2 linked regions of the Struthio camelus genome follow. The protein of the gene in region 1 purifies or fractionates together with the protein of each later gene. This does not show direct contact. Links are inferred from orthologs where the notes say so. Each region holds a gene or a part of one and is shown on either strand. Other genes may lie near its edges.

What was found. The genes of interacting proteins can lie anywhere in the genome.
Region 2: the proteins of DUSP8 (region 1) and MAPK8 purify together in Homo sapiens (affinity purification with mass spectrometry; 3 studies listed by BioGRID and IntAct, counting the BioPlex papers as one, with this or other methods). This does not show direct contact. The link is inferred for Struthio camelus from reciprocal best matches to the Homo sapiens genes DUSP8 and MAPK8.

What each region holds. Positions count from the first base shown.
Region 1 is NC_090946.1:17,929,774-17,940,082, forward strand, and holds the start of DUSP8 (dual specificity protein phosphatase 8), read right to left. Parts: upstream 4,611-10,309; 5' UTR 4,547-4,610; intron 4,289-4,546; exon of another isoform or gene 4,227-4,288; intron 1-4,226. UniProt on the Homo sapiens protein: Has phosphatase activity with synthetic phosphatase substrates and negatively regulates mitogen-activated protein kinase activity, presumably by catalysing their dephosphorylation.
Region 2 is NC_090948.1:21,903,981-21,913,279, forward strand, and holds the start of MAPK8 (mitogen-activated protein kinase 8), read right to left. Parts: upstream 3,740-9,299; 5' UTR 3,582-3,739; intron 3,531-3,581; exon of another isoform or gene 3,468-3,530; intron 3,255-3,467; exon of another isoform or gene 3,123-3,254; intron 2,925-3,122; exon of another isoform or gene 2,906-2,924; intron 2,046-2,905; 5' UTR 1,964-2,045; intron 1-1,963. UniProt on the Homo sapiens protein: Serine/threonine-protein kinase involved in various processes such as cell proliferation, differentiation, migration, transformation and programmed cell death.

The sequences.
Region 1 (10,309 bases):
CACGCACGCACACATCAGGATGGGTAAACTCAGGAACTGTGAGGGCTCTCCACACACAGGAAACAACATGAGAAAAGGTATAAGGGGAACGGGAAGAAAAGACGGAAGTAAGGAAGTGTTTCTAGTCCCAGACAGGCTGCTGGCACGGTCTTAAATTAACTCAGTGCAAAGTGCGTCACTTGCTTCATCTTCACGCAGCACAATCCTAGCATTAACCGTTCTGCGCTGGTATTGCTCCCCATCTGTGCTAGGAGACTCTTCATGTAATAGACCAGTTCCCAGCAAGTACCTCCTGGTTTTCCCTTTATCTCAGCCTGGGGTGCTACAGCCCCTGTCTTCTGAAATCCTGCTCCTTTCCAAGAGTCATTAACTCGGCAAACAAGCACCACATGTCACTTTTGGAAACTCTGGGCTCAGAGCAGCCAAGAGGTCCACAGAAGCTGTGCGTACAGCAAAGAATGAAGCCCCCCACACAGTAACCCAACTTTCCCTGTCTAAAGGGGGGGGTCTAGAAAAACAAAAGAAAAGCCAAATAGCACAGCTACAGAGCAAGCCACCCACAGGAGCTGTGCTATGTCGGCCTGTGGAGGAGTGCTCTGTGCCGAGTGCAGCATCCCAGAGCAGCCCTGGCTTATCCCACAGCACCTGTGTGTCCCCTCTCCATATAGGAGTCTGCATTTCCATCCTTGAAAGTGAGATGGTTGAGAGGCAAAAGACCCTTGTGGATAGCACTGACTCGGAGGCTCTTCCTGCTTGAGGTAGAAAGTCTACAAACAGCTCTTGAAAGAGGAAGAGATAAGAGTTTGTTTTTCTTTCTACGACCTTCTGCTAAAGAGAAGACCGGGCGACTGAGGTGTCCACCTCGGCCACAGCTCAGGAACTCGCACCTTGGTCTCTGGCTTGGATTTGGCTCGCGTGGGCCAAACTTTGCCTGGCAAAAGCACCCGTTTTGAGGGCAGCGCTGCCATACCATTATCCCAGAGCGCCTTGGCACCATCAGCTTTTACAGCCTTAATGTCCCTAGGCTGTATTGCATCCCTGCTCACAAAGTATGCACAGGTCTTCCCAAACAAGCTTGAGAAAATCATGAGCAGGGAGCTCATTCGGCTTCTTATCTGATGAATTGTCTCAGGCCCCCTTGCCTCCCCACCCCAAGCCAGCCTGAAATTACGTCAGGTGTCTGCCTTCCCACTCAGCATCAGGTAGGACAGGTGTATCTTCAGAGGAGAAATGCAGAGCTTGAAAAACAGGTTTTAAAGCCCAGAGGGCGTGAGGCTGCAGCAGAGCATTTTTAAGCTTTCCCCACAGGATGACAGCAGTGAAGGTCTGGCTGCAAAGTTCTAAGCATAGTAGCAAAGAAAAGCCCGGGGTGAAATGGCACCGCACGTCAAGGAAAAGGAGCACCTCTTGTGCTGTGGCTTTCCGCAGCCGGCTCCCCCTTAGCATTGCCATTAAACCAACAGTAGAGGGCAAAAAGATCTACAAACTCTCCAGCCTAGTTTAATCTTCCAACTGTCCTACCAGGCAGAGGACCCAGTATTTGCAAGCTCCTTTTCTTTATCACCTTGTTCTTTACAAAATCCAGTTTGCTGCAGCAGCCGAAGTGTGACGGTAGCATCCTGTAAGTCAGTCCTGTAAGTCAAGACTGCCAAGCACTGAAACACCTCCTTTTCCTGCTTTCATCCCAGATGGCCTTAACATGTTCTACACCTGCGTGCACGCGGGGCTTTTGGAGCCAAACCTCAACTGAGCTATACACCAAAGAAACCGGTGTCTGCTCCTTAAGAAGAGACTTAATTAAAGTCAACAGAACAAATCGAAACAGGAAAGCAGCTATAACACGCTCCTTATTCTTACACAGATTTAAAGCAGCACTTGTTGGCAGAGAGGTAGGGAATAAGGATGGAGAGGAAGCCCCTTCACACTCATCCTGAGAATGCTCATTTTCAAAAATCCTTCTGAGACACAAATGGTTTCCATTTTGGGGGGTTTTCTTGTGGGGGAGAACCTCATTTTCTCTCAAGAGGCAATTTGCCTGTATGAGACATACGCTACTGAGAAGTCTCATCCAGCCTTCGGGGGTGCTTTGGTAGTAACAGCAGCATCGTATTTAATTTTAAGTGACAAACTCTGCAAAGGCAGGCACCTCAGTGGGTTTCTCAGCAAGGTGCTTGGCACCCAGCAAAAACATCTCTGCAAACAAATGCCAAGTACTACACTTGCAAGAGTGATCTCCATTAAGAGAGCCCTGAGGAGTCTGGCCACTTTGCTCAGGTCTCCCAAACACAGCAGAGGCTAGATTTCATAATGTAAAGCTAGATCTAAGTCTCCCTCTCCTATTCCTTAGCTTGCATTAAGGCAGGGACAACTGAAAGTCACAGTCGGCTAAACTGTTGAGTTAAAAGCATTTTGGTGTGAAACGCTGACATCTCAGAACCAGTATTCAAGACACCATTTAGATCAAGGGTTTCTCTACTTGAGTTTATTGCCAATCAGCCGAGCGTAGGAAGTCCAACATACTGTCATCCCAAGGAGGCATTTGGGCCCCCATCTGCTCTCGCATTCCCAAATGTCCTTTGTGGTAGTGGCCATTAGGACAGCCCCACACATGCGCACCCTGCCAGCAGGGCTATGCCACCCACAATTGAGAAGTTTTCTTGGTGTTGCAGCTTATTTGTTTGGCAACTGCTACAAGCAAAACCAAAGCAAACCCAGCAAGTCCCAACTAGACTCAAACCCAATAAACCTCTTCTGCAGAGGAAAACCGAACAGCGCAGACCGCTTACAACAGCGCTAGCAAACCCCTCCGAGACAGGCAAGGCCAAACCTGCGAGTGCCAATTCCCACGCGTCAAGTCCTGAAAACAAAGCTCTCCGCCACCGAATTTCAGTGTGAAGGCAGCCATACCCCAAGCCTTTTGCCTTAGCAGGGAAGAAAGAGACAATGCAAGCAAACGGCAAACGCAGCTCCACAGGCAAGCCCGCTTCAAGGTTAAAAGAGCCCCGGTGTGGCTGGAAGCACCCGCCAGGCTGCCAGCACAGTCCTCCTCACTACCTGCTCCAGCCTCCTTGGGCTTTTTGACAGCTGCACCATTCGCTTCGCGGGGGGCAGAGGGAGGTATCTGTCTTCACGCCCCAAATTAGAGGGAGACTGAAACCTCCGGCAACCGTTCCTAGCGTATTTGCGACTGCTCACTGTTTGGGACAGGGATGGTCTTTTTGACACATGCTTTTATATACAGCGCCTAGCAGGCTGTGCTCCCCACTAGGGAGCTTTTGATACTACCACAATCCAAATAAGAAACGCATCTGTGCCCAGCAAACGCAAACATCCTTAACAGAACAACACTGCACCACGTCCCTCCTTACAACAAAACCGCAAATTACTGACCTGTGCGTAGAGCTCCCCCAATGCAAGCTGAAGCACTGACATCAGCTTTTACTGTGCTCAGGAATTTAATTCTGGGGGAGGAGAAAGGAAGGGGGCGAGCAGAAAAGAGAAGGAACTTGTTTATCAATAAAGGGAAACAATCAGGATTCTGACTAGTGATAATCAGCTCTAACTTTCAGCACAAAATCCAACATTTATCACTACATAACAATGAGGGGGGAGGGAGAGATGATCAATTGCTCCATGCACGTTATGGGAGGTCAAGGAGATTATTTTAAATGGGCAGCTTAACTCATTAATCGCTAGCAGCGCCTTTGGAGCTGCAGCAGTGAAGCGTTGCATGAAAACCCCTGCTGCTGAACACATGCCGGCTTCCCCGGGCTCGTTTAAACGCCAAGGACACACGGCGACACTCCAAACTCTCTCATCGTTAGAAAACCACAGCGCTGTTAACACCGATTCCTCAAACCCCAAGCCTCAGCCCCCAAAGAGAAAAACCGCTAGCAAGATACCCCCAGCGACACCGGAGCGCGGCGGGAGCCCAGAGCTCCGACCGCCTCGGCGCAGCCGGGCCCGAGCCGGCGCCGCCTCCGCGCGCACCTGCGGCAGCCGCAAAGCCGCGCGCCGCTGCCCGGCTCCCAGCGCAGCGGGCGCCCGGCGCGCACCTCCCCGGCGCCGCTCTCCGCGCCGCAGCGCGGCCTCGGCACGGCTTCGCCCTCCCCCTTTTTCTTTCTGGTTTTTTTTTTGTTTGTTTGTTTCTTTTGCACCAGCATAATCCCAATCCCCCCTTTAAAAAGCCGTATTACATCTATATTTATCTATAGCAGCCGCCCTACCGGCCCCGGGCGGCGCCGGCGCGCTGTCCGTCTCCCCCGCTCCGCTCCGCTCCGCGCAACTCCGCACATGCCCCGGCGCCAGCCCCTGCGTCCCCACGACGGACGCCGCGTACGCGCCGCACATGTGCTGCGTGCTGCAGTGCACAGCGCGGCCGCGCCGCTCCCCGCGTACGCGCCCCTGCCCGCACCTCCCGGCACACACACACACACATATATATATATACGCATTTGCAGGCACATACATATCTATATAAAATATATATGCCTATGGAGCGCGTGCAGGCGCTGCCCCCGCCCGCCCCCCGCGGCCCCGCACTGACCCGGCGCGGCGGAGGGCCGCTCCGCGCCGCTCCGCGGGCTGGCGCGGCCGCTGGCGGCGCCGCCGGGCCCGCCTGCCGCGGCGCGCAGGGGCCGCGCCGCTCCGCGCCGCTCCGCGCGCCGCCGGGAATGCGCCGGCGATGAGGTCATGCCTCGGGGAAAAAAAAAAAAAAAAAAAAGGCAAAAAAAAAAGGCAAAAAAAAAGCCTCAAGCTGACGTCACCCGCAGCCAATCAGCGCGGCGGGCGCCAGGGAGGGTGACGTCAGCCTCGCCGCTGCCGCGGCGGCGGGCGCAGCGCTGCGCGGGCGCGGGGTAAGGCCGCCGCTGCCGCTGCCGCTGCCTCGGGCGGCCCCCGAACAAAGGGCCCGGCCCGGCCCGGTGGCACCCGTGGCTGCCCGGCGCCACTCCTGCCCCCTCGGCGCCCCGCGCTGGTGTCCTGAGCCTCGCTGAGACGCCCCCGAGCAGCCGCCCAGGGCCCGGACACCCCTCAGCGCAACGCCGCAGCTCCCGCCGCTCGCTGACGCTACCCCGTTTCGGCCACGAGCAGTTCCCGCGAAGTGCCTTCACGTTTTGCCCCCAGGCCACGTCAAGGAGCCCCCAAATCGCTGCGCTTCTCCCCTTCCCTCTGCCGCAGTGCGATGGCCCGTATGCCAGCCATCGCCAGGCTGTCGCACAGCCCCGACCGCTGCTCCTAGCATCGGGCCGTGGCTGGACGACCCGGGACAGTCCTCCACACGCGCCAGACTGAGCTGGCAAGGCGGCCCGGGTGGCGCAGAGCAGCACGAGGGACCCTTGCGGGGTGGACAGGGTGGACGGGGCGCTCCTTCAGGCAGAGACTGCCCTTTCCATAGAGGTTCCAGGGTGACGTGCGCCAGGAGCCCCAGTCCTACTCTTTTGGTGATACTGTAATGCAAAGAGATGGATTATCCCAAGGAGAGATCGGCCTGAGCAACAAAGCGCCTTTTCAGAGCTGACCTGCCTCGCCATTAGGGTTTCTGGGCTCTGCTGACTTGCGCTGCTCCTGGGCTGGCTTCCCCTGGCCTGGCCGAGCAGCGTTGCTGCAGCTGGAGCAAGGGCTGAGCTGGGCGAAGCTGGCTGTTGCGTACAGCTGGGCAAACACTGTCCCGAAAGAACAACTGCCCTCGGAAAACCTGCATTCAACCCAGCCAAAATGTTATGTTACAACTTCATGGCTTTGACTTTGGTGCTAAATCAGTCCAGGCAGCGTGCTTTGAAAAGGTCAAAAGCTTTCAAATATTTTCTTTCCCGGACCGTTCCCAGCCTATCTTTCTGGTCTGATCTGGATGAAGCTGAACCCTGAAGCTCTCCTGTAGGACAGACAAACCCTCCTCCCTTTTTTAGCTCTCCCTGCCCTCCGTTCCCATGTCTCCTCTGCTGATCTCAATCACCACTTTGCTAAACTTACAACAGTTTGGTGGCTGCCAAAGCCCATCCCTAAGGAATCGCTCACTCATAAATGCCAAAGCTGGGGATAGGAGGGGAAGGACAGACGTAAATGCGATGCAGACTGTGCAGATGGCACGTCAAAGGGTGGCGCAAAGGCCTGGGGTTCAGCAGGAGAGCCAGCGAACCTGGCCCAGTGGGTCCTGCTCCTGTCTCGGCTGCACTTTGCAAATGGTGATGCGTTGCCCTGCTGAAACAGCGCTAAAAAGTGGCGGAAGGTTTTTATTCTTACTCTGTGGATCTCCTTTTCTCTGGGAAAAGCAAACGCACATGGCAAGAGCCAAGAAACCGGCATCTGAAGGAAAGGAGCTCCTCCTCCCCCAGAGCAGCAGGGCATATCGCAAAAAGCTTTCCCCCTCAGGAGGGAGGGGGAAGCCTGGGAAGGTGAAGAGCAGAAGAAAAGGGCCTCATATATGACCTCCCCAGGAAAAGACGCCGCTAGGGCCCAGCGGAGAGCCAGCCCTCATCAGCAAATATTTCAGAAGTGACCTGTCTCACCTGACACAGTGGTAGGACTCGTGGTGGGCTCCCCTCCGTCCCACTGTAGGTGGCATAGAAAAGCCCTATGGCTGGTTTCGGAGCCTGCTAACACAGCAGTGGTTTTTCTCTGCCCTTGGATGTGGCCTGGCAACTCCAGCTTAAAGAGGGATTACGATTTAGAAGCTTAGGTTTTGCTGGCACTTATGAAATCGAGGGAGCCTTCCTCCCTGCTGCTGATACGGATGCCGGATGTTTTAAAATTAACTCTCTTCTCTCCAGTCGTTCACAGCAGCTAGCTAAAGAAGGATATCAAGCTGCCATGGTTACTGACATGGCAAAATCTTTTCAGGAAGGGTCATTTCTTGTAGCGCACCAAAGGCTTAAAGCACTAGTTGCTGGGAAATAGTGCGATGCTAAAAATTTCACTATCCCCATTACGCAAGCAGTGCTGAGCCTCTTCCTATCCCCCTTTCCTACTGCAGAAAATCAATTCCTCCAAAGCGTGTCAGCAGAGAAACTACTGCAAAACTGTGACTGCTTCACCACATGTGTCTAAACTGCGTGACCGGATTGACATCGGCTTTGATTTAGGCCTAGTTACCATAGTCAGTGGCGAGTTACTGGTGTTGTGGCACCAGTCGAGCCATTCGCTTTTTGTGATTTGCTGTGGAGTGGTTTAAGCTGGTGGGAGCAGAAGCTGCGGAAGCGCAGGGTTTGCCTTGGTGTAGCTCAAATGAAGCCCCGGTCTTTAGTCCATTCAGGGTTTCTCACTGTTTTTCCTGCCCGTCTTCCTCTCCGCAGCCTTGCCGAGTGCTCCGGCAGCAGCTTGACGGGCTCTGAGCTCTCCTCCCACTTTGCAAACTGTGAAGTCAGCCCTTTTTACCTGGGCAAAGGGCACATGCTAATAAAACAGCTCCAAAAAAATGGCATAGTCCCCATCCTTCAAATGAATAGAGTAAGGGGAAAAGCCCCCTTTTAATTTTTGGAGGGGAAAAGAAGAATGTCTTCTCTTGCTTCAGTTTAGGGTTGTCCATCCCCCTTTTCCATGGGCAAAATAGAAAAAAAAGAAGGGGAAGGGAATTAGTCTGAAAATCCCAAAACCAAAGCTTTCCTCATAAAAAGTGTTATCTAGGCAGAGAGCCATGAGCTCTTGAAGCCTGCTGAAGGAAGAGGATTTCAACATTTTCTTTCCAAACCCCAGCTAAAATAAACGCTTCCAACCCCAGCCCTGGCAAGCTGCTGCCGAATGAATGCCCCTGGATCAGCTGCCGAGAAGATGACTCCACAGCAGGCCGTTGGCCCGGCCTGCGGAGGAGCACAGTCGCGTGGCGGTGGGGTGAAGGATGCTGAGCAGCCGCCGGCAATCTCCGTTGGGAGGCAAGGAAGAGGAAGATGGCAAGGAGAGGCCAGAGGACGGGGAGTCCCGAGGGGCTGCAAGGAACCAGTGCATGACATGTTGCTTTGGATTGTTAATTCCTGGCACTAACCTGCACCTGCACGGGTGCTCTCACGCTCAAAGCAGGAGAGGGTCCGGCCCACAGGCTCTGCTCCTCTCCCACGCCCACTGCTTCTGAGCGAGGTGCTGTCGCCAAGAGCCTGGTGGGGAGAAACCAAAAGAAATGCTTCAGGGATGTTAAAACTCCTCTTGGGATTGCAGGGGTAAGGAGCAGGTGGTGACAGAGGCTTGCAAAACTTCACCTGGCTTTCAAAGCTTAGCGCTAACCCGATTTAGATCCGAATCCTGTTTGACCTGAAATTGTGGCATTCAGATGTGAACCCGTGGTTCTGGTTACATCAAAGAGGCAGCACTCATCTTTGCATTGCCTTCGAACTGGAGACACACAGTGAGCTCTCGGTGTCTCGTACACACTAAATAGGCAAGCGCTATCTCTATTTTACACAAGGGAAATTAAGCAGAGAGAGACGGGGCAATGTTGTTATGGTCACACAGAAAGAACAAAGCAGCGTCACGCTCTGAGCTCAGATCTACCAGATGTTCATCCATTGTCTTTGCCACGGGGCCAGCATCCCTCCCTTTCCCCTGTACTCATAATGAATCCAACAAAAATTATGCAGCAAGTTGCTTAGTGCTAAAGGAAAGTGCTTTATTTCAGATAAAAAGCACTTAAAAAATAATTCACCCTATTGTCCACACTGTTTTTTCCTCTTTCCCACATTTCAGGCTCATCCGAAGATTGATTGCATCCCAATTACGTGTTTTGAATGTAAGCTACGCTTATACACGTCACATTTTCTGCTAAAACGTTTTCCAAGACCTATGATTGTCATTGCAGGCCAAGCGCAGAATCTGCATACTAGATTTTCCTGTATTCTACAGGGATTAAAGTCAGAACCTGATAATGAAGTAAACTAAAACTAAGGAAGAGAAATTGCTGCCAGACCACCTTTCTCACCTGTCAGAAAAAAAGAGATACCTTTTAGCTGACCTGCAATTACTTTAAGCATCTGAATAATTGTTTTTAACCTTGACCAGGTTCCTGATGCAGTTCCTACCACAGCCAGGCAAGCCCTCCTCCCTTCCCGCTTGAGAGGGCTGTGCACTGCAGTTGGGTGGCAATACTTTACCTGGCAGTACCACCACCATCAAATGTCATCAAAGCCTCTTCCTAAGGAACAATTTTAGCTGCAGCTATGCTAGGGCACAGCCTCGGGATCGACAGGAAAAAACTGCTGTTTGCATCTGTTTGCAAAGAGGATGAGTCATATCGGTGCCGGCTGCAGCACAGTGCTCTGTATTCCCATTGCAGTAGGTATTAGCACCTTTGAATTGCTGATGGCAGAAATGAGAGTCAACCCTTTGGTTGCCACAGCTCTGCTTTTACCAAGCTGTGCTGTTTCTGCTGCGTATGTGGCTGCCACTTTCCCTGCAGCCTCCCAGCCAGGGGTGCAGAGCAGCCCGACAGCAGGCCGTGGGGTTTTGCTGTTGGCTTGGTGGGTGTCATAGTGCCTAGTGTGGGGAGGTGCCAGAAGAAGGGGTGCTCCAAGACTGCTTTGCCAGAAACCTGTAAATGCTGTTTCACACGTTACTCAGCCAAGAGCTGGTCTGCTGGATTGCAGTGCTGTTTAGAGTGCTGCTTCTGGCTGCTTTTTAGGGAATGAAATTGCAGCCAATAGAAGTCAGTAAAGAAACATTGACTGTGGGGAGTTGTATGTCACACCATGAAAAGTGAATCACTCTCCTTTTTGGCTCTCATCCACATGCACCCAGGTAGTTACATCTGCAGCGCTCCCAGTGCACCCCATTGAAGGGCTCGGCGTATCTCTGCATGCCGCCTTCCTTCTACAAAGCTCAAAATGGTGTCACTCAGCTTGCAAGGAGAGTTGCCGTGCTTGAACAGGCGAAAGACACTATCAGCACTATGAGACAGCCTCGTTCCTTGTGCAGAAAGCTGCTACAGATCTGTCTCCATTTCCTCGATAAAAATATATTCACGTGCACAGTGTGGCTCGGCACTTGCAGAACAGAGATTACTACGTGTGCATGTAGCAAAAACAGCTTCCATGCAATTAATTGTGGAAGTGCAGGGCTAGAGGTCTGCATGCTGTGCCATTCATCTAAGTATATGCAGTAGAAACAGTCGTTCTGTAGCTCTGACTGTGCCATTAGGCATCCCAGGCAAATGCAAAAAGAGAAAAAATCAGACAGTGAATAAATTCTCTCAGCTTCTACCTGAACATGTCTGAGAAAACCTGGGCAAAAGCATACAGCTGTGCCAAATCCCGGCCACAACTGATCGTACAGGGCACAGGTCAAAGTCAGGGGATGGGAGGGGAGGAGGACGAGGACCTTTGTACCTGGT
Region 2 (9,299 bases), on another chromosome or scaffold:
TAAGCAGTCTCCTGTCTCCCAACATTGTACCAGTACAGCTATTTGTTCAGACACAAAAGGGAATTAATCAGTCCAACAGGAAGATTTTTCAGTTGTATCAGTCAGTTCCCTGTCTGCTTTGCCACACAGGAGCTGGCAAGAAAGAACAGCAGGGAGAGAAACTGCTCAAGAAAGGTAACCACTGAACATGGAACTATGGTGTTATGTTATAGAAATACAAAAAGTATTATCATTGCTCTGAAAACTCAAAGACTTTATCAACCAACTAATTATCTTCCACTAAAGTCACTATTAAAAAGAATATATGCAAATATAAATGACTATTTCTGTACTTGCATATGGACATATATACACCATGTAACGAAGCAATGCTTAATTAACTATAGTTGATATTTTCACAAGGATAACCAGAAATGGCATTTTTTCAAGTTTAAAAGGGAATCTTCAATTCCATTTGGACAAGTGGATTTGTGAAAAGATCCAAACAGTAGACGTTCAGATTCTCAGTTCAGCAAAATAAAAATTGTTTTCCTGAATCCATGTCCAAACTGTGATGAATTTCACAGCAGGCAAACCGTCTAAATAGTTTAAATTGATTTTTAAGGACAGATCTTTCCATAACATTAACAAAGAAGTTTATTTCCACGGGTTTTGGGTTTAGAACTTTTTTTTAAATGGAAACACTTATGGCAATAAAATACATTCTTATCACTTATTAAAAAGGCAGCTATGAGCAAAACCAGATTAGCCTAATTTGCAAAAAGTGATACAGCAATGAACATTATATACATACTCACAGAAAACTTTTTTCATGGGGAAGAAAAGGGAAGCTTAAGAAACATCATACCGTACTTTTCAGCAGATTATCAGGAAGGATATCTGTTTTAGTCCAGAATATTGGATCAATCCTCAGAAATGAAGGGCTACACACTTACTTTTTATACATCTTTAAACAACAAGCACTCACATGATTTAGGTAGTTGGGAAAGGAAGAAAAAAAAAACCACCCAAACATACAGTGAACAAATAACCAAATAGTATTATAATCTCAAATACTATCCCATTAACTCATGGTTTAAGAATTAGAACAAGCAACAACCACAACTAACCATGTCAGGTAAGTAGCAGGCAGAAAATAAATAAGTGTTTTGGAGTCTCAACAATGGAATTTATTTGCTAATATTTGCATTACAATTGGCTGATACAGCAACTTATCTAAAGGATTTGCAAAGGAGGTTATACTTGCACTCCTATAAAGCCAGCAAAGGCCTAGCTCTCTAAAGAGAATCATTAAAAGTTAAAGACAACAACCAAGAAAACAACCCATACACAAAGGACAGCTCATCTTCTGCCTAGAATGAGTAGTCCCAAACAGTAGGACACAGGACTGTATTGGATCATCTTTTTAATGTTTCTGACCAAGAAGCCTCCATATGGTATATGGTAAACAGCAAGACACTTCATCTGCTTATAGGAGCCACTGGAGCCAAAAAGCTAGGGAAATTCTGCACTAGAAGACAGAGTTAAAATTGCTTTGTCAGAGTTATGACAAAATGTCTTTGTGCAGTCAACTTTGTGCATCCTCTACAACTCCAAAACTCTTTCCCTTCTCCTAACATACTTTTGCCCTATCTGTCTTGAAAGCAGTTAGTACCTGACAATCAACCTGGAATTTGTCTGGTCCCTGTCCTGGCAGTAGAGATTCTGCAGAACTCAGCAATGGGCGTTTATGTGAAAACCACTGAACATCCAGTCACTTGGGGGGTGGAGGAGGGCAGAGGGACTAGCCTATGCTACAAATCTGAAATCAAGTGAAAAAAAAGACAAGATGGCTGTCCTCGTAGACCGAGATCAAGCATGGGACTGTTAAAAATTCAACATACGTTTCTTAGGTATTACTAAAAGAATTAAGAGTCCCTCTTCATTATACCCCAGGAAAGCTCAGATAAGTCAGTGAACTCACTTTGACAGTAGACTTTAACTAGATTTGGCCCAGTGCGTCTTCAGGCTACAGCTGGAACCATTTGTAGGTTATGCTGATATATCTGCAAATACATAGATAAAGTAAGATGCATTTCAAATACTGTCCCATCCTAGGGGTATATTTGTCTGCACCTCTAAAAGCAAGGCTAGCACTCATGTAAATTGAGAGTCCCCCACTAGTCAGTGTCTCCATGCCTGTAAATAAGACCGAGTTGTGATGTAAGCTTGCAAAATTCTCCTCGCAAAACTCTACATGCACGTGCCCTAGGGCAATTAATACTTTCCTTCCACGAGAAGTATAATACCCTCTATATTTACATTATCAGACAGGCCAAAGCGTGCAGGGTTTCTGGATGATCTGAAAGACTTCAGCAAGCCTGTTCTGCAGAGCGCTTAAATTCAAAAAACACACTACACACCTGAATCTGTTACTGTAACTAGGGGAGAATTAACCGAGTGGGGTTCATATTTGTAGCTTATCAGTCATGCCCAGATCAGGCTTCAGCGATGGCACCACTCCACAGAGAGACACATAAAGAAACAGGCTCTGAGAGCAAAGCCAGACGCTGTTAGCGACACAGAGCAACTAAAGGACAAAACAAATTCTGCAGGCAGGCAGCTCACCCCTTTCACCGGAAACATGAAATTAAAAGGCAAAACAATCGGAAGCGCCGCCAGACGCCCCCCAGCCCCCCTGCGGATTTGGGGCGGTCACGCCGTCCCGGAGGAGCGTTTCTTCCCGAGGAGGCACTTCCACAGCAAGGTCGCGGAGCCGCGCTCCCGCGGGGGGCGGTCCCGGCCCCGCAGGCCAACAGGCCGCCGCGCCGCGCCGCGCCGCCCCCCGCGCCCCCGGGGGAGGAGCCCGCGCCGAGCCCCGGCCCCTCCCGGCCGCCAACAAAGAGCCCCCCGCCCCCCCCGTTACCGGGAGACGCCGGGCGCCGAGCGCGGCCCGGCCCGGCCCGGCCCCGGCGGACACGGGCCTGGAGAGCCCCGCGTCGCCTCAGGGCCGGGGGCGCCCCCGCTGCCACAGGCCGAGCGCCGCCCCCGCCGCGGCCTCGCTCCGAAACGTAAACAAAGAGGCCCGGCCCGGCCGCCGCCGCCTCAGTCCCGCTCCCCGCCGCCGCCGTCGCCGCCACCACCACCTCCTCCTCAGCCCCAGCCAGGCCGCCGCCGCCGCCGCCGTCTCGGCCCCGCTCGCCGCCTCCCGCCGCCTGCTCGGCCGCTGAGTAATGAGCCGGGGCCGGGCCGCGCGCACGCTCCGCCCGCCCGGCGCGGCTGCGGCTGCGCCGGCCCCGCCCACGCCGCGGCCTGTCCGCGCCCGCGGGCTCTGCGGCGCCCCCGCTGCCCGCCCGGCTGCCAGCGCCGGCATCGCCAGGGCTCCTCCGCGCCCGCCCTCCCGCAGCAGCCCCTGTCCCGAATTACGCCTCCCCTCCTGCCGGCACTGCCATAAACAACCGCGTTTCGCAGCTCCATGCCGTCCGCACCCCGCCATCGCGCTCCAGCGGCAGTTTTCCTCGTGCCCCCAGACGCCTTGGGCTGCGCTGGCACCGCCGCGGATCCGGGGCCGCGTCTGCCACGCCCGAGCTTTATCTCCTTACTGGGTGTTGTCATATTTTTTTGTTCCGTAGCTGCTCTGGCAATTTTTCCTCTCAGTCTTCAGTGCTGCGTTGCGAGGCTTTGAGTCATCCCTCGCCATCGTCTTTGGCTCTCGCTGCCTGACGCAAGCAGTCGCTCTTTGGTTTTTCTGCGTTTTCTTTGGTATATCATTGTTTGTTCCCCGCCCCGTGTCACTGCGCAGAGACAAAAGGAGGCCAGGCCTCTGAGCACCTTGAAGCCCTATCAACACGTTTGAAGCAAGCCTTTGTATATTTACGCTGCACAGTACAAAAAAGGCTCTTTGACCGGTTTTTAATTAAAATCTGTCAGTCCGGCACACCAAAATCAGACAGTCCACGTTTAATCGATTTGTTAAACATTTAAGTGTCACGTTTTTGAAGATGCCAAGATCACAGTGAGGTCGTCACTGCTAACAGCTTTTACCCTGCTGCATGGCTGTAACAAGCTTAGATTTTCACACCATAAAGGTGGTGCTTCAGAGTATTACAGTTTGGCCCACTATCCTGGCGCTATTAGGAGCTTCACTTCCATAAAGCTGTTGACCTACTACTCATATGCCTGTTTTAGTGAGGTCTCTGCACTCACGTCCTTAAAATTCTCATTTATTTTAGGCAAGCGTATTTTCAATCCATATCTGAGAAGTCGTTCCATTACAGATCCCTGCAGACAGATACACAGCGTTTCCTTTATACCTACAGGAAAAGCTATCGCTTAGACTCCACCCCAGGAGAGAGGCCCCTCTGCATCCCACCAGGCTCTTAAGCGTCTTTCCAAGAGAGAGGAAATCAAGTTTCTCCCACTTCACCTCTGATTATTTTCATGGGGCAGTCTCTGAGTTGAATTAACTCGTGTTTTGCTTTCAGGCTTTTTCTGGTAGGAGTACGTGAGAATACAGTCAGGTGTTGCATTCCCTTCCGTGTTTATTTGTGCCAAAGGCTGGCAGGAAAGGCAATACAAATCCCTGAAATCCACTGGAGGCAAAAAAATTTAATCTGGTTAGGTCATATCCATCTTCATCAGCAGATGAGACTAGCCCTGCCGATTTTGCCTGAAGCAGACCGTGGCACAGGCACGTGTTTCCTTCTGCTGGCAAGCAGACCTCTCTGGTAGCAACCTTTGCTGCTCTGCGTCTCTGCTGCCAGAAACGGGGGGTGGGGGGGTGACACCACGTTCAGCCAGCACAGTTATTTGCAAGGCAAATTCCTTCCTGCGGCTTTAAGGATCACCTATGTTACTCTTAATCTTTTGGGGAGCTATCGTTCCTAATCGTGCTATTTGAGATAAGACTTCACTGAGACTGGCAAGTTTAAAATGGCGTTTTGCTTATGCTATAGGTTTGTCACATATGTTTTTCACTGGACGTTCAAATTCTCATTGAGATTTTACACGTTACAAAGTTGACACTTTAACAGAGATGTATTTATAAGTGAGTTTTTTAAAACTAGCACTCACAGCCATATGTGCCATCAGCATCTATCGCTAGCTTGTATGCAGAGCTGATAAGCAACAGATAATAATGATGCAGAAATTACACAACAAGAGCAGACCAGTGTTGATGCAAAGCACAATGAAGTAGCATTATATATTTTAATATTACACGTTCCATGGACTCCTACATATTTAAAGATTTTATGAAGGAACACAATAAAAGGAAAATAAGGATTTGATATCATAAATCTGCTACTTACTAGTATATCGCCTTTAAAAAATTAAAGACATTACCGATAGGCTGTAAGGTTCCTGTGCTCTATGCAAAAATTTTAAGACATTGAAATAATGCCTCTCTTAATAAGGACAAAATTTCCCTGATTGTGTGAATAATCTGTTTTTTAAAACTAAGTCCCTAAAAAAAATTTTTTTTTTGAGAATGTTATTTAGCATCACCATAGTGTTGTTTTCAAAACTGCTTTGCAGAAGTATTTTCTTGCAAGCATAATGGCTATGTGCAAATATTGAGTATGCCCGGGTGGAGACTCTTTTCTGGATCGTCCTGACTGATATCCAAAAAGATAAGAAAAGTTAGAAACTACAATACAAAACATCAAGCCCAAGGCTATATAATGTAGTCACTTTTGTCCACAAAACATCCATAGTAAAGAATGATGAATTATTTTTGCACCAAAACGGACTAGGATAATTCACAAAGTAAGTGAATGTACTTCAGTTGAATGGGGCTGCAGTGAGAAGACACAGGGTGGTACCTTCTTAAACCACAACAGCTGTTTAAAAGTAAGTATCTGATTATGCCTACAATCATTCTTAGACAAGTTTCTCTTCCTGAGAAGAGAAATAAGATATTCTAGGTATGTGTTGCAACTGTAAGATAACAACATTTAGATAGGCAGGTAAATAGCATGCTCTGAAAAAAGTTTTTTTTTTTTTTTAAGTTATCTTATTTAAAAACATGTATCTGCAAGAATGGACCTTCTAACATTTCTTTTCTTAAGTCATCTTCAATAGAAGACAAAAATTGCATTTCACTGAACTTCCCAGGCTGAACCACCTGTGCAAACATGCAGTCACTGTAATTCTATCATTTATTTGTTTTAGACATGTATATAAATATCATCATTGCATAGACACCTAGCTACCTTTCAGCACTGAAAGATGCCTTCTGGAAATTAATAAACCATAACCATCTCCTCACCTCACTAATTATCTGGCCAAGAAGAGATCAACAAGAATTGTGGGGAGTCAGGGGGCCCAGTTTTTCCACGCTGAGGCTTGATAAGTCACAGCCAGGATCAACATCCACGCCCTGTTATAAAAACAAGTTGATAAATATTGTTTGCTAAGGGCATTATATTTGGAAACAACCCCCAGACTTTATAACATTTTAGAAAATTCCATAAGTAATACAAATGTTTATGTGAAGTAAACAAAACCGTTTGATAATATCTTTACTTCAACAGTTTATCTTTACCATTGGTTGCAATACAAAAGTTGTATTTCACACTAGAAAATGAAATGGACATTTGCTAGAAACTAGTTACAACCAAAAATTCAATTAACTGGCATATTAAAGCCTGAAAAAAGCATACAAAGAAAATGAATGAAGAATCACACCTTCTAACTGTTGATAAATATAGCAGGTGTTTAAATGTTTCATTTTAATAACCCAGTAGATCAAAAGGAAATTAATAAAAGAAACATTTTACCAGCTGGATTTTTTATTTAACTATGTCTTTAAGAGCAAGATGAAATCAGTGTCAAGTAACTAGTTGGAGGGAACTGCATTCCCCCACTGAGTGGAACTGGAAACAGTCACTAATCAGTAAATGCTGATTTATTGTTCGTTCTGCCTGTTAGCAAATAATCATGACTTAGGATTAAGTTTTTTTAATAGTAATCAAAATCAACTGAACAGTTGCTGGCCTTGGCAAAGGTAGCAGAAGGAAAGCAGCCACCACGGGGCACCATGCAACAGGTTATAACCTTGATCATGAGCACAGGGGCCATGTTCATGCATAAGGTATACTTCAGCTCAGAAAAAGAGACATTTCTGTCTGTGTAGTCAACAGACCATGTGTTCTCTGAAATGGCATTAACACTGTTAACCTCTTCTTTGCTGAGCCTGCAAAGGTCTTTCTGAGTGTAAGTCCATTAACAGTCCATTTATATCAGTAGGGTGTACCAAGTAAATTGGCAGCCAAGTATATACAACCAGTTAGACATACTCAGCTGATCAGAAATTGCTAGTGGAGAAAAGTGTAGTTTAACCATGAAGAGACAGTGTTTATGGTATCACAATGCCTCATATTTCTATACACTGATATTAATACAACATAGGGTGTTTTTTATTTATACTGTCACTCAGCTGAAATTTTGCATGGGCAAGGCTTTCATATAATTTAGATAAAAGTTCTTGAGTTTGGCTTTATATGGTGACAACATCGGAGAGTGGGATCCCTGCGCCAGATTCAGGGCTGGATTCTGGTAACGTATTCTAACTATGTCATAGCCAAGTGTTGCTCTGGTTTCTTTACTAGGGAAATATTGATTATAGGTGTGTGTAACTTTGAGTTGTAGAGTTTAATTCCTAAATCCCCCAAACATACTTCTAATTTTTATCTGTGTCACACTCCTGTCTTCCTAAATTATGTACTTAGATGCCTGATCTCCCTTTCCACTGCGGCTGCTTAATGCTGCACCTTATCAATGAAGCCTCTATACTTGGCTTTCTAAGAATAATTCCAGAACAAAGGGCATTTCTAGGCATTCAGAACAAGACCACAGGGACTTTTATATCGGCTGTTTGTCCATCATCATTACAAGAACATCATAGCTGGAAAAGCCCCTGCACCAGACTGAATTCAGCTGCTTGGAACCGGTGGCAGGTGACCAAAATTAGATGACCATTCAGACAACACTTACACAAAACTCAGTGGATTCTGAAGGCCAATTTTCAGCTATGTTCTCTCCAACCAGCATTCAATGGTTTTTTGCTCTGAACTTGCTCGATACATCTTTTTGTTAAAGCAAAGTAAGACTGATCAGGAGCGCACTAATTCTTGTCAGAATTTTTTGATTTCAACTCCTAAATACTAACATATCTCCCATGTTAGATGTATTAAATATTATCTGTGAAGAGAGCTAGAAATGACTTTATTTCAAATGAAATTGGCCAACAGCAATCATCTGACATCCTGTCTAAAAGCTGGTTGAATCTAACCTTCCATATGATGATCCTGATTAAAAAAAAACCAAACAAACTAGTAGCTTCTGAATACAGATTTGAAAAACAACTAAATGTGAAGACCGCAAGCTAAATGGCAGGTAAAGGGACACAGAAAACTTAGTTTTATCTCTTTTGACTTGGTATTTTATTATGCACTGACGAAAGCATTTTGAAGATATTTGTGTGTGTTATGCCTATACTGCAAAATGCCAGGACTTGGAACTAAGCAAACTACACTAGTTACAATAAGCAGGATAATTGCAATAACAAACAATTCCCCTTGAGAGAAATTACACCTCTTTGTGTTAGCTTTGCTGCCTCCACACGACTCTGCACTGTGCAGTACTACCCTATGACCACTTGTGAACACCCATTTTAGGATTTTGAAATGAAGATATATTTTGATCACTTCAGCTGTTGTAGAGAAAAATTATTTTCACTCCGTAAGTAAACTGTCACTCTGATATATACACAAGCATGTCTGAATGTATGCAGGTTTCATAGCAGTGGCCAAGATCAGACTAAAGACAGAATCTCTTTTCCAGTCTTATAACCAGCATTCACTTCACTGCAGGTTTAAATGGCTATTTTTAATGAAACTATTCACAGGATATACCCATGGAATTCTGTTAACATATTCCAGAGTGAAACTTCTTTAAAGGTTTCTTTCTTTCCTCACACTAATGGCCTGAACTCACAGTTCTTAGAGAGTGACTCCATTACAGCCAGTGAGCATTTGGTCATTAAACACTGCCAGTTTGTCCTTTATTTCATGAATTACTTTTTTCACGTTCTCTCTTCTTGAATCATAGGAAGATGCATAGGAAGATGTATCATAGCAATATCGCCCATCATTCAGTTACCTATGGGATCAGCAAAGCTGCAATCAGGTAGCACAAACATGAGCTACTTTTCCAGTTGTGTTTTATTGCCTCATATCGCATCTCAAAAGCAGCAAAACAAGCAAACGAAAATTAGTCTGTTAAAAAAAATCAGATAATCACTTTAAATTGGGTCTTAT